3 linked regions of the Callithrix jacchus genome follow. The protein of the gene in region 1 purifies or fractionates together with the protein of each later gene. This does not show direct contact. Links are inferred from orthologs where the notes say so. Each region holds a gene or a part of one and is shown in the gene's direction. Other genes may lie near its edges.

Region 1 (4,636 bases):
CATGGGATGGCTCACCTGTAGCTTCAGTGTTTGAAGTAAAGAAAGCTTTATGCAGATTCTGGCTTTTATTGGGTCTCCTCTGACAGTAGAAAGATTCAAACCACAGTCAATTCCAAGAACCCTTCTAAGAACAGAGACAGAGTCACTCAAACGATCTGATTTGCTATACCTAAATATAATTCATGCTGCTTTTCTCTATGATACACCATAATATTTTGTCCAAAAATCTTGAAACATGTTACTAACTTTGAAGAAAGACTAAAACCAGCCACTTTAGAGACTAGAGACACTCAAGCACTGATCTATTCATAAAGTTTCTACACAGCTGAAGAAGTTTGCACAAATAGACAAAAAATAGTACAGAAAACCTAAATACAGAAAAATTCAGAGAAAAAATCCATCTTTTAGAAAGCAGGTCAAATGGACTCAGTTAAAGACCTCACTGAATGTAGGAGAATCAATGGGAAACAATGTAAAGACTTCTGCTAGAACATTAATAGGAACCAGCCTATGTAATCAAGAAATTATTTTGCCTCCTGATCTAAATGCTTGCCTCCAGTCTAGGGCTCAGCAAAAGGCCTGGTTATTTGAACTGGTTGTCAATCAAGGTCCCCTTCATTTTCGCTTTCTTGGCTTCCAGTCCAGCCAGCTCTTGCAGTCGCATCTTGCTCATGCCTTTGCGCTCCAGCTGTTTTTCAATCACTTTGGCATTCTGTGCATAGGAGTCAGCAACTTCCCTAGCCTCAATCTCCTCTTCCTCTTCATCAATGGTAGACACAGTGACAGAAGTGAACTTGCCCATGTCTTTGGTCCATTTGGTCATCATCACCTTCTTAGGAGGCTCTTGTTTCTGAGTATATATGTTCGTTTTCCCAAAGGCCTGGCCAAACTTGACTACTGCTCCATCCACAATGAAGGTAACAGGAGCGTTATTCGGCTGGGATTGGTAGAAGAGCAGCAGTCCACACTTTGCACATTTCTTTCTGTGCTGTCGTTCAGTGCCTTCAGGTCTCCGCAGATACACAGTCTCCTGGTCTTCTGTGTTACAAAACTTACGGGCATGTTTGGCAGCATCAATCACACGGGACCGGTCCCGGGGCCTCATGGGCAGTTTCTCTAACTGACAGTCCAGCAGTAGGACCATCTGGCCGCACAAACAATAGTACACATGGAGGGGCTTCTCGCCATCATCATATTCCTCCCGGTTCCGAGTGTCAGAGCAGACTACTGACCGAGACACTACTTTCGGCATGGTTCCTAGGAGCCGCCCAAAAAAATTACGCATACAAGAGGGTCGCGCTGAAATGACGTCACGAGCGCGCCAGGCGTCTTTTCCCGGCGGCTACCTTAGTAATGTAACTAAATGGCCCTTATCCACATTTCCGTAACATATAAACATCAGTATTACTAAAACACCTTGCAAAGTATTCCACATTTTCCCAGTAAGCTACTAACCCAGGGCCACAGGTTTCCACCTTGACTGAGATATAATTTGGTCTGTTGAGTGACGTGTTAACTTATGGAGGACACGGGCCACTTTGGTTGATATGCTACTTAAAATATGAAATGTAATGTTTAGTTCTAGTTGTTATATTGGTTGACCCTTAGCAGGTGGAAGGTGCCGACTTTGGTGCTCACAGGCTTGTGACAGCACCTCCTATATGTAGAAACATTACTGTCCCTTGTTTACTGATAGTACTGTCTTAAAATCCTAACAAAGCCCAGCAATTAAACAAGCTTGTTATTTTGGCTACTAGCCAGTTTCCACGCGCCTCCGTTTTGGCATCAGTAAAAGGACAGAGACTTTCTCTTCCTCCGAGGCTCTTGTTTGGGCACGGGTGACCACAAAAGGACCACTTAAAGCAGATAGCAGCTGACAGTGAAGGAGAGATGCAGTGTACAAGTCCCAGTCTGGTTTCACTCGGTCTTTTTCTCTAAGCCCCTCCAGGATCCTACCGAGGATCTCATGGGCAGAGGCAGGAAGAGGATTCTAAAATCTGAGAAGCCCAGGCCAGAGAAGGCAGCTTTCGTGCTGCTGTTCTGAGACTGCAGCTGGAAAGGAAGGGAGAGGGGGTAGTCAGTTACAGCTATTCCTACATTTGTCTGTAAAACAACTCTTGTGAATTCCAGACAAAGAAATAAGGCCCAAAGCAAACAGCACATCAAAAGCCTGGGGTCACTTCCAGAACTGTAAATTTTAATTTTTCCCTTGTGTTGTTTGATGGAGTTCCTAATAGAAACAGTCTTCCTTGGGGGTCTCCTTGACATCAAAGTCTGTTTTTCTTTTAGAAACTTCTAAAATTACTAGATTTAATGTGCTCAGCTCTTTCCACAAAACCTAAATAGCCATTCCACCTTCCTTCGTTGTGGAAACTATGAATCTTCCTTCTCTTTTGCTGCTGTTGTCTAGGGAAAGGCTGCTGCCTCATGCAAGAAATGTTCTAGAATTGGTATCCTTTCTTTTTTTTTCAAGTTCATCCCTTGTAGGGCATGGTTAGTATTTTCAGCAACAAAGGTTGAGTTGTATCTTGAGGCACAGAAAGAGGATGCCCTGTCATTCGCTGTGTAGAGGGCTGTCTGTGCAGGCTACTCCAGAAGTTGGGCAGGGGGTCTTTAGACTTGTGGGCTTTGATAAGCACCCTCCCTTGGGAAGGTACATTCTTGAGCTGATGATTGAGTTTGTACTTTACCCTCATCATGCCCTCCCTCATTTAGAAAGTGTAACAACTCCTTTTCCTCTGTCTTTACTTTATTCCAGATCAGATTGATGAAAATCTCAAACTGGCTTTGCAACAGGACCTGACCTCCATGGCCCCTGGGCTGGTCATTCAAGTAAGCATTGCTGCATGGGGGCAGCCCCTCTCTCTCTGACACTGCGGTCCTTCTCCCAAGGGATGTTCTTTTTGTGCAGGAAGATCAAGACAGTGGGAGCTGTGTGTGTCCCTCACTACCCTCACTTTCCCATCAGCTGCTGTTTTAATCTCTCTCCAGGCTGTGCGGGTGACAAAGCCCAACATACCTGAGGCAATCCGCAGAAACTACGAGTTGATGTGAGTATACCCTCCGCCTGGACTGTGACCACCACTGCCTCCCACCTCCCACCTCATCCCATCCCAGAGGTAACCGAAGCTGCCTGGCTTCTCGGTTATCCCCTTGCTAGAGGATTTGCCACAGCCCACTGCACTGTAAGATTGGACAGATGTGTCAGGGCCATGACTGGGGCTCCCTACCTGTGATTAAGAACCCCAGGAGAAGCCCTATAAAGCAATAATGCTTTGAAAAGGGCCAGGGGGCCTTGTTTGTATTCAGTGACTCATGCCTAAGGGGAAGACAGAAGCAAGAGACCAGTAAGTGGACAGGCAGGTGTATTTTACTAAAGTAAATTACATTTTATTTCCCACAAATGAGTTATTTGGGAGAAGAGCTGTGTTACTGTCGGCAACAGATCAGCTTTTACCTAGGCCATGGAACAGCCTTCCAGGAGGAGTAGGAAATAGGAGTTTGCCTCTCTTCAGTAGAAGAGTTCAGCTTCTTCTGGGGACAATGATGTTCCTGAGTTTCTCATAGCAGCCTCACAGCTTTGTTTCCTCTTCAGGGAAAGTGAGAAGACAAAGCTGCTCATTGCAGCCCAGAAGCAGAAGGTGGTGGAGAAGGAAGCAGAGACAGAGCGGAAGAAGGCACTCATTGGTCTGAATGTGGTTCTGTGATCCCCCTTTCCAGGCAGAAGGGCCGGGGGTGGTGGGAAGATGCAAGGAGGCTGAGGCCTGCTGAGACCCCATGGTCCTCCAAATCACTTCCACAGCACAGGAATGGCAGGTGGACTCCCAGAAGCAAAGTTGAAATTGTCAGATCATGGCCAACGGGAATGAGTTTTGAGATTCCACTTACCTCTTAAATGAAAGGAGCCCTGCCTATTAATTCTTAACTCATAATAATAATGGCTAATACTTAATTGAGCCACATATTTTCCTAAGCACTTAATACGTGGGTTAACTCAACTGTCACAACCACTTTGTGGGGTAGGTACTGTATTATCCTTAATCTTATTTTATCGAACCAAAGGACAGAAGGGTAAAATACTGTGCCCAAGGGCATATGGCAATAAGGGATGGAACTGGGGCTCCAACCAAGGACACTTGCTCTAGAAGCTATGTTCTTAGTCACCGCACCGTATTATCAACAACAAACCTGATCCCTGTGTGCACTGAAGGGCCAGGTAGACCCCTACTAGAGTACTGCATTCTTTAGAATATTCCTTTGGGAGAAGTTCCCTTGTGAAGTTAGGGCTCATTCTTCCTATGTTGGGCCCAGGTCTCCTTGGTTACTGCCTTGTGCTGATGGAAGGGGACTCTGCTCACTGGCACATCCCACTCTGCCCGTGTGTGCCCTCACCGCCATCCTCTGGGGGCTTTTCAGCCGAGCTGACCCACCAGGACACTCAGCTTGGGGGAAAGGTGAAATCAGTCAAACTCTGAAATGCCAGAACTCTAAGTCTTTCCTCACTGTCATTTTTTCAGAGGCAGAAAAAGTGGCACAGGTGGCTGAGATCACCTACGGGCAGAAGGTGATGGAGAAGGAGACTGAGAAGAAGATTTCAGAAATTGAAGGTAAGCAGAAGCAACGCTTATGCCTGCGT
Region 2 (4,145 bases), on another chromosome or scaffold:
CTCCCGCGGGCGGCTCCCTCCCCACGGCGAGCGCCGCTACGTCACAATCGCAGTGCGCAGCTAGTGCCTTGATCCCTCCGCCCGGCCTCTCAGGACGGCGGCCCGCTGCCCACCAGACTCGGCCCAGAACCCCAGTCTCAGCAGGAGGACATTTTAGGACGGGACCTGGGTGACTCTAGGGAACTGGTTTTCTTTCCAGAGAGCGGAACAGGCGGGGAAAAATAGTCCCTTCTCGGCGGTTCTGCGGAGGGATCTCCTCGGGGCGGTGTACGCCGATGACTATATAAGGACGCTCCGGGCGTGGTGCAGCTAGTTCCGTCGCAGCCGGGAGTGCAGTTGTGTTCGTGGTTTGTCCGTTGCTGTCATCGCCGCTTGGTGAGCAGTGGGGTTCTGGGCGGGCTGGGGCTTTCGGGGCCGAACGGCCGCGAGGTGGGATGGAGGCGGGTTGCCGCCCCGGGTCTAGAGACTGGGGAGGGCTGTCGGCTGTGTCCGCTAGAAAGGTGGGCTTGAGGTGGGGAGAACGCAGCAAAATGGCGGCTGTTCCGAGCGCTGCGTGGAAGACGCCTGTGAGGCGGGCCGTGAGGTCGTTGAAACAAGGTTGGGGGGCATGGACTCAAGGCTTGGAGGCCTTCGCTAATGCCGGAAAGCTCTGATTCTCGTGGGATGGGCTGGGGCACCATTGGGGGACCCTGACGTGAAGTTTGTGATTGACTGGAGAGCTCGTCTTGTCCGTTGCGGGGGTAGCGGTTACCGCGTGGCCGCGCGGCAATGGGGCGCGCTGTGGGGGGGGGAGAGCGCGCCTTCGCTCTGTGGTGACGTCACCCGTTCTCGTTCTGTCGGCTCATAATTGCGGGGCGGGGCCACCTGCCGGGAGGTGAGCGGTGGGCTCTTCTCCGTCGCAGGACGCAGGGTTGGGCCTAGGGTAGGACCTCCTGAATCGACAGGCGCCAGACCTCCCGAGAGGGAAGGGTAAGCGAGGCTTCAGTGTCTTCGGTCGGTTTTGTGTACCTACGGTTGTAAGGAGTTGAAGCCTGGGTTTTGAAAACAGGCTGGTGAGTGTGTTTTGTGAAGTAACGCAAGTTTTAATTGTTTGGGTCAATGTGACATTTAACTTACAGCATTAGGAAGGCTAATAAATTGCTAAATCCTGGTGGTTTTTGGCTTTTTGTCAAAACAGACAATGCAGATCTTCGTGAAGACCCTGACCGGCAAGACCATCACCCTTGAGGTCGAGCCCAGTGACACCATTGAGAACGTCAAGGCCAAGATCCAGGACAAGGAAGGCATCCCTCCTGACCAGCAGAGGTTGATCTTTGCCGGAAAGCAGCTGGAAGATGGGCGCACCCTGTCTGACTACAATATCCAGAAGGAGTCCACTCTGCACCTTGTCCTCCGTCTCCGAGGTGGCATGCAGATCTTCGTGAAGACCCTGACTGGTAAGACCATCACCCTTGAGGTCGAGCCCAGTGACACCATTGAGAATGTCAAGGCCAAGATCCAGGACAAGGAAGGCATCCCTCCTGACCAGCAGAGGTTGATCTTTGCCGGAAAGCAGCTGGAAGATGGGCGCACCCTGTCTGACTACAATATCCAGAAGGAGTCCACTCTGCACCTTGTCCTCCGTCTCCGAGGTGGCATGCAGATCTTCGTGAAGACCCTGACTGGTAAGACCATCACCCTTGAGGTCGAGCCCAGTGACACCATTGAGAATGTCAAGGCCAAGATCCAGGACAAGGAAGGCATCCCTCCTGACCAGCAGAGGTTGATCTTTGCCGGAAAGCAGCTGGAAGATGGGCGCACCCTGTCTGACTACAACATCCAGAAAGAGTCTACCCTTCATCTCGTCCTCCGTCTCCGAGGTGGCATGCAGATCTTCGTGAAGACCCTGACCGGCAAGACCATCACCCTTGAAGTCGAGCCCAGTGACACCATCGAGAACGTCAAGGCCAAGATCCAGGACAAGGAGGGCATCCCTCCTGACCAGCAGAGGTTGATCTTTGCCGGAAAGCAGCTGGAAGATGGGCGCACCCTGTCTGACTACAACATTCAGAAAGAGTCCACTCTGCACCTCGTCCTCCGTCTCAGAGGTGGCATGCAGATCTTCGTGAAGACCCTGACTGGTAAGACCATCACCCTTGAGGTCGAGCCCAGTGACACCATCGAGAATGTCAAGGCCAAGATCCAAGACAAGGAGGGTATCCCTCCTGACCAGCAGAGGTTGATCTTTGCTGGAAAGCAGCTGGAAGATGGGCGCACCCTGTCTGATTACAATATCCAGAAGGAGTCCACCCTTCACCTCGTTCTCCGTCTCCGAGGTGGCATGCAGATCTTCGTGAAGACCCTGACTGGTAAGACCATCACCCTTGAGGTCGAGCCCAGTGACACCATTGAGAACGTCAAGGCCAAGATCCAAGACAAGGAAGGTATCCCTCCTGACCAGCAGAGGTTGATCTTTGCCGGAAAGCAGCTGGAAGATGGGCGCACCCTGTCTGACTACAACATCCAGAAAGAGTCCACTCTGCACCTTGTCCTCCGTCTCAGAGGTGGCATGCAGATCTTCGTGAAGACCCTGACTGGTAAGACCATCACCCTTGAGGTCGAGCCCAGTGACACCATTGAGAACGTCAAGGCAAAGATCCAGGACAAGGAGGGAATCCCTCCTGACCAGCAGAGGTTGATCTTTGCCGGAAAGCAGCTGGAAGATGGGCGCACCCTGTCTGACTACAACATCCAGAAAGAGTCTACCCTTCATCTCGTTCTCCGTCTCCGAGGTGGCATGCAGATCTTCGTGAAGACCCTGACCGGTAAGACCATCACCCTTGAGGTCGAGCCCAGTGACACCATTGAGAACGTCAAGGCAAAGATCCAAGACAAGGAAGGCATCCCTCCTGACCAGCAGAGGTTGATCTTTGCCGGAAAGCAGCTGGAAGATGGGCGCACCCTCTCTGATTACAATATCCAGAAAGAGTCCACTCTGCACTTGGTCCTGCGCTTGAGGGGGGGTGTTTAAGTTTCCCCTTTAAGGTTTCAACAAATCTCATTGCACTTTTCTTTCAATAAAGTTGTTGCATTCCCAATTGGTGTGGGTTTTTTTTTAAGTTAAGGTATTTTTGCATTAGATAGGGTGAAGGGGATCAAGGTTTCCAGTCCGCAAATGTTACCGTGGTAACCATGAAATGTCAGTGAATGGGGGGAGGTAGATTTACAATATGAACTGTAGAAAGTGGGTGCAAATAAAACGCAGGTTCAAGACCAGCTTGGCCAACATGGTGAAACCCCAGCTCTACTGAAAATACAAAAAGGTGTGGCAGGTGCTTGTAATCCCAGCTACACCGGAGGCTGAGGCAGGAGAATCCCTTGAACCCAGGAGGCAGAGGTTGGCAGTGATTTGAGATCGCAGCACGGTACTTCCACCTGGGGGAACAGAGCAAGACTGTCGTAATCAGGTTATTGGGAGATACTTTTTCAAGTTACTTAAAAATACTGGTTGGGGGTGTGTGAGGTAACAGGAAGGGAGAAGGAATATTAAAAGGTGGGAGTGATGAGAGGGTCCCTGTGAAAGAATGAAGTACATAGGCCTAGTAAATGTATGTTGAGCTGCACACACAGTCCTGGGATCAAGTGATTTTAAAAGGACGTTGCAGGTGGAAAAAGGCATAGTTGTCATGGTGTAGAATTAGTGTTTAGAGAATAAAAGCTATTCAAGCAGTTTTTTGCTGAAATTGTCAAGTAAGGTGGACAGGCATGTAACTAGTAGGTGAAGCAATTGACTTCTTGGTTTGTCTCAAGTGTATAGTAGCATTCACCCAATCAGACGGTACTAGTAAGGTGTTCATGTTGACTAGCACCAAAGGTGGAAGTTGCAGAGAAACTGGTTTAATACAAGGGATGGACACCAGGCAGTAGGCATCCCAGAGGTCATCCAGAGGCTCATTAGAGGCCTTGGAAGGTTTGTCCCAAGGAGCGTCCCTCCTCTCCAAGTTTTAGGGGATTCATGAACAACATCTCCGGAAGAATTTCATGTTGGCTCCAGCAATTGTAAAGCACCTGAAGGTGGCTTAAATCAGTTTTAGCTTTAGTTTTAGGGCTAATGGACTAAAATTTGAGAAATCCGCAAATCCATCGAGTTTTCATTGTGAATACAT
Region 3 (4,068 bases), about 6.0 Mb from region 1:
CCTTTTCTGGATGTTTCGCATCAGGATAATACTTTGTTTAATGGGAGCTTTTTTCTATCTTATATCCCCTCTAGATTTTGTACCTGAAGCCTTGTTTGGAATTCTAGGCTTTCTAGATGATTTCTTTGTCATCTTTTTATTGCTTATCTACATCTCAATTATGTATCGAGAAGTGATAACCCAAAGGCTAACCAGATGAATAAAAAAAAAAACAACTAAGTTTACTAGGATATCTGAGCTAATGTGTAACGTCAAACAGAAGGACCCATGGCAGTATAAAGCAATGAAGCAATGGAGTATTATCTCACAAACATAAAACCACTATAAGACAAACATTTGATTATCATTTGACAAATGCCTAGGAATATATAACTGGAATTTTCACATGTTGCAGGTTCTAATGTTAAGTTTAGAATTATAATTATCTACAGTTGTATCTTGATTCTATGTTGTCTGGAAAAAATATGAAATTACATAAAAAGGGAGCCTTTTATCTTTTTTTTTCCCCAAAATTACTTAGATTAATTGGATGTGTAGTAAAATGTTGTTAAATGTACAGTTTATCTACCTTATCCTTCTCAGCGGGTACCTATATGATAATATATAGCTGTGAAATTCATCTAAATATTTTTGTTACAATAAAATATTATACACTATTGGGGAAAATTCAGTATTTCTTTTAGTGCTAGCTAAGTTTTGTGCATTTGGAGCAGTTTTGCTTTTTCATTCTGGTATAATTATTTGTTATCAGCTGAAACTGAAAGAAAAAACTTGAACTTCATACTTCGGTATCATATTCTAGTTTACAGAACACATTTTAAGCAATAGAATTAAGATGAAAAACATTTATTTCCAGTCAGCACACTTGATGTTCACAGTTACGACATTTAAACAAGAGTTCAATAGTAGCTATAAAAGTAATTTATAAAGGGAGATTGTTTTAGGAACCTGGGTGATGCTGTAAACACAAAGTAGCCTGATGCATTTCCGAAGAACGTGGATCTTCATGTCTTTGGGCATCAAAGCCCATAGGAAGGTACAGGGAACAGTATTTACATTTGACAACAGAAATTACTGGTTAACTGTAGCAACAGATTCGACAAACTTGGTTAGTTTTCTGTTGTCAGAAATTTTTTTTCTTTTTTTTTAATTGCATTTTAGGTTTTGGGATACATGTGAAGAACATGCAAGATAGTTGCATGGGTACACACGTGGCAGTGTGATTTGCTGCTGCCTTCCTCCCCGCCTTCAGAAATTTTTATAATACTGTCTTAAGGATAAACATGGTGGCTCACGCCTGTAATCCCCAGCACTTTGGGAGGCTGAGGCAGGTGGATCACTTGAGATCAGGAGTTCAAGACCAGGCTGGCCAACATGGCAAAACCCCATCTCTAGTAAAAAAATACAAAAATTAGCTGGGTGCAGTAGCAGGCGCCTGTAATCCCATCTACAAGGGAGGCTGAGGCAGGAGAATCCCTTCAACCAGGAGGCAGAGGTTGCAGTGAGCCGAGATTGCACCATTGCACTCCAGCCTGGGAGACAAAGCAAGACTCCGTCTCAAAAAAAAAAGAAAGAAAAAATACTGTCTCAAGATGGAAGCACACAGCAGAGATTCATGTCTTGAGCCAAACAAGTGAATGTATTTTAAGACTCCATACCACACAGTATTGAGAGATCTGACTCACTTTGGCTGGCATTGCTCATTAGTGAATGTATGATGGCAGGATGTGAAGGGATGCCCAGGAGTCTATGTTAGCATTGTCATCTGAGATCACTGCTATTAATAATCCATTAATTTATTAGTGAGACTAATTATATGCAGACTGGGCCAAGGACAAAATCTGTCACATTCTCTCTAGTTAAATCAGATCAACTACCAACTAATGAGATTCTGAATGAAATATCAATATGTGTTTTTCTAATTTGGACCTAGGACAGAGCTGTTGTTTGTCATAGAGAAAGACAATAATGCTTAAACATAGCACATTATAATTAAAGCAGTTTCTCACGTTTTTCATTTTATCCTTTGGACAATTTTGTGAGGAATGCAGGGCACTACCTTCCCTTTCAATTAAAGTGTTTTTGAATGAAGTCACACAACAAATAACTGATCCAAGTGGCATTAAATCAAAATGTCTTAGAAGGGCTCCTGCACAGAATGTTCAGATAGACATGAAGGTTAAGAGGAACGGCAAGAGAGAAACTGGTTCTCTAGAAGTCTTTCATGCTACCTTATTACTTCCATCAGAGTAAGACAGCTTAAGCACTTGTAAGAGGAAAGGTTTGTAGAGGTGACACCTGAAGACTGCATGAATCCTAACTCTACGCTTCCAAATCAAATAGCTAACAGGGTGGCATGCATCACAGAAAAACATATCAGCTGCAATCACCAACTTGAAAAGCAAATGAGTAGGAGTTTGTCAAACTGCCATGTACCAGACTGGAAATGCATTTCCTACCAATTATACATTTGGTGTGGGGGGATGGTGATGTCATTTTTTGACAGGATTTTATTTTGTGTGCATGTGTTCTGCTCCAAGTGTCACATTTCTGGTTACAATAATTATAATATTTGGAGTTACTACTAAGACTTTCCTGAAAGAGGTGTATTGTACCAAATTTTATAACATAAAAAAATACTAAATGATCTTAAATCTTGTTAAATTGTGAAAAGGGTAAATGCTAGCATCTCAGAAATTTAGACCTGCTTATTGTCATCTTTATTGATCTCTGATAATAAATTCAGAAGGGATCCGAGACTTCTTAAAGCAAGTAGAGTCAATCAGTGTTTTGAACACCATAGTAATACTTAGGTGATTCAGAGTTAAATCATATAAATCAAAGTAACAATTCGGATTTTTAACAATATCATAACTGTCATAAAACAGATGGTCCAACCTCAGGAGCAAATAATAACTTGGGCAGCTCTGTGGGGAACCAGATGAGGGAAACAACTGTTCTAACTGCCCACTAGAACAGTGGTTTCAACTGCTACAATTCTCAGTGTTTCAAAGGGAAGAAAGGACCGTGTGGATCCCTTGTGGCTGTGCAGATACCTACCTCACAGAGTTGTAGAAGACGTAGTTTGGTTCAATCCTTGTGATTAAAGAGTTTGTCAAGCATTTTATTCTTTGGAATAAAAGCAACATATCTTAAAAAATTTAAAGGTGTTATTTTTCTGTTTCTTTAACATTTGTTTACTTTCAGAACTCCTGAAAGAGCATTTGGTATAATGGTTGCAATAGCTTTGGTTATCATTAATGGACATCTAATATCTCATCATATTTCTAATTAATTTTGTTAGGTTTTTTTGTTTGTTTGTTTGTTGGTTGGTTGGTTGGTCAGAGACAGGGTTGGAGTGAGACAGATGGAGTCTCACTCTGTTGCCCAGGCTGGAGTACAGTGGCACAATCATAGCTCACTGCAGTCTCAAATTCCTGGGCTCAAGTGATCCTCCGGCCTCAGCCTCCCAAGTAGCTGGGACTATAGGTGTGTGCCACCACACCTGGCTAATAAAAAAAAAAAAGTTTGTAGATACATGGTCTGGCTGTGTTGTCCAGGCTAGTCTCAAACTCCTGGGCTCAGCCTTCCAAAGTGCTGGGATTACAGGTGTGAGCCGCCATGCCCAGCATTGAAAATTATTTTTCTATTAAGAAAATAAATTAATTGGCAGACTGCAGTGAAAATTTAGTCATGGAGATGTTTTACAAAGAAAAATTCAACATTCAATTCGATGCAACAAATTGTTTTAAATTATATGTAATTCAGCCAGGCACAGTGGCTCACGCCTGTAATCCCAACACTTTGGGATGCCAAGATGGGCGGATCACGAGGTCAGGAGTTTGAGACCAGCCACCAACATAGAAAAACCCCGTCTCTACTAAAATACAAAAAAATAGCTGAGCATGGTGACACGTGTCAGTAGTCCCAGCTACTCCAGAGGCTGAGGCAGGAGAATCGCTTGAACCCGGGAGGCAGAGGTTGCAGTCAGCCAAGACCATGCCATTGCACTCCAGCCTGGGTGACAGAGTGAGACTCCATCTCAAAAAAATAAATAAATTGGCTGGA

Evidence for each region.
Region 2: the proteins of ERLIN2 (region 1) and UBC purify together in Homo sapiens (affinity purification with mass spectrometry; 3 studies listed by BioGRID). This does not show direct contact. The link is inferred for Callithrix jacchus from reciprocal best matches to the Homo sapiens genes ERLIN2 and UBC.
Region 3: the proteins of ERLIN2 (region 1) and RNF170 purify together in Homo sapiens (affinity purification with mass spectrometry; 4 studies listed by BioGRID and IntAct, counting the BioPlex papers as one, with this or other methods). This does not show direct contact. The link is inferred for Callithrix jacchus from reciprocal best matches to the Homo sapiens genes ERLIN2 and RNF170.

What each region holds. Positions count from the first base shown.
Region 1 is NC_133514.1:38,643,665-38,648,300, forward strand, and holds part of ERLIN2 (erlin-2), read left to right. Parts: intron 1-52; exon of another isoform or gene 53-1,281; intron 1,282-2,758; coding exon 2,759-2,832; intron 2,833-2,991; coding exon 2,992-3,050; intron 3,051-3,595; coding exon 3,596-3,687; intron 3,688-4,517; coding exon 4,518-4,607; intron 4,608-4,636. UniProt on the Homo sapiens protein: Component of the ERLIN1/ERLIN2 complex which mediates the endoplasmic reticulum-associated degradation (ERAD) of inositol 1,4,5-trisphosphate receptors (IP3Rs) such as ITPR1.
Region 2 is NC_133510.1:128,100,268-128,104,412, reverse strand, and holds UBC (polyubiquitin-C), read left to right. Parts: upstream 1-1,165; 5' UTR 1,166-1,180; coding exon 1,181-3,010; 3' UTR 3,011-3,077; downstream 3,078-4,145.
Region 3 is NC_133514.1:44,622,397-44,626,464, reverse strand, and holds the end of RNF170 (E3 ubiquitin-protein ligase RNF170), read left to right. Parts: coding exon 1-199; 3' UTR 200-3,160; downstream 3,161-4,068. UniProt on the Homo sapiens protein: E3 ubiquitin-protein ligase that plays an essential role in stimulus-induced inositol 1,4,5-trisphosphate receptor type 1 (ITPR1) ubiquitination and degradation via the endoplasmic reticulum-associated degradation (ERAD) pathway.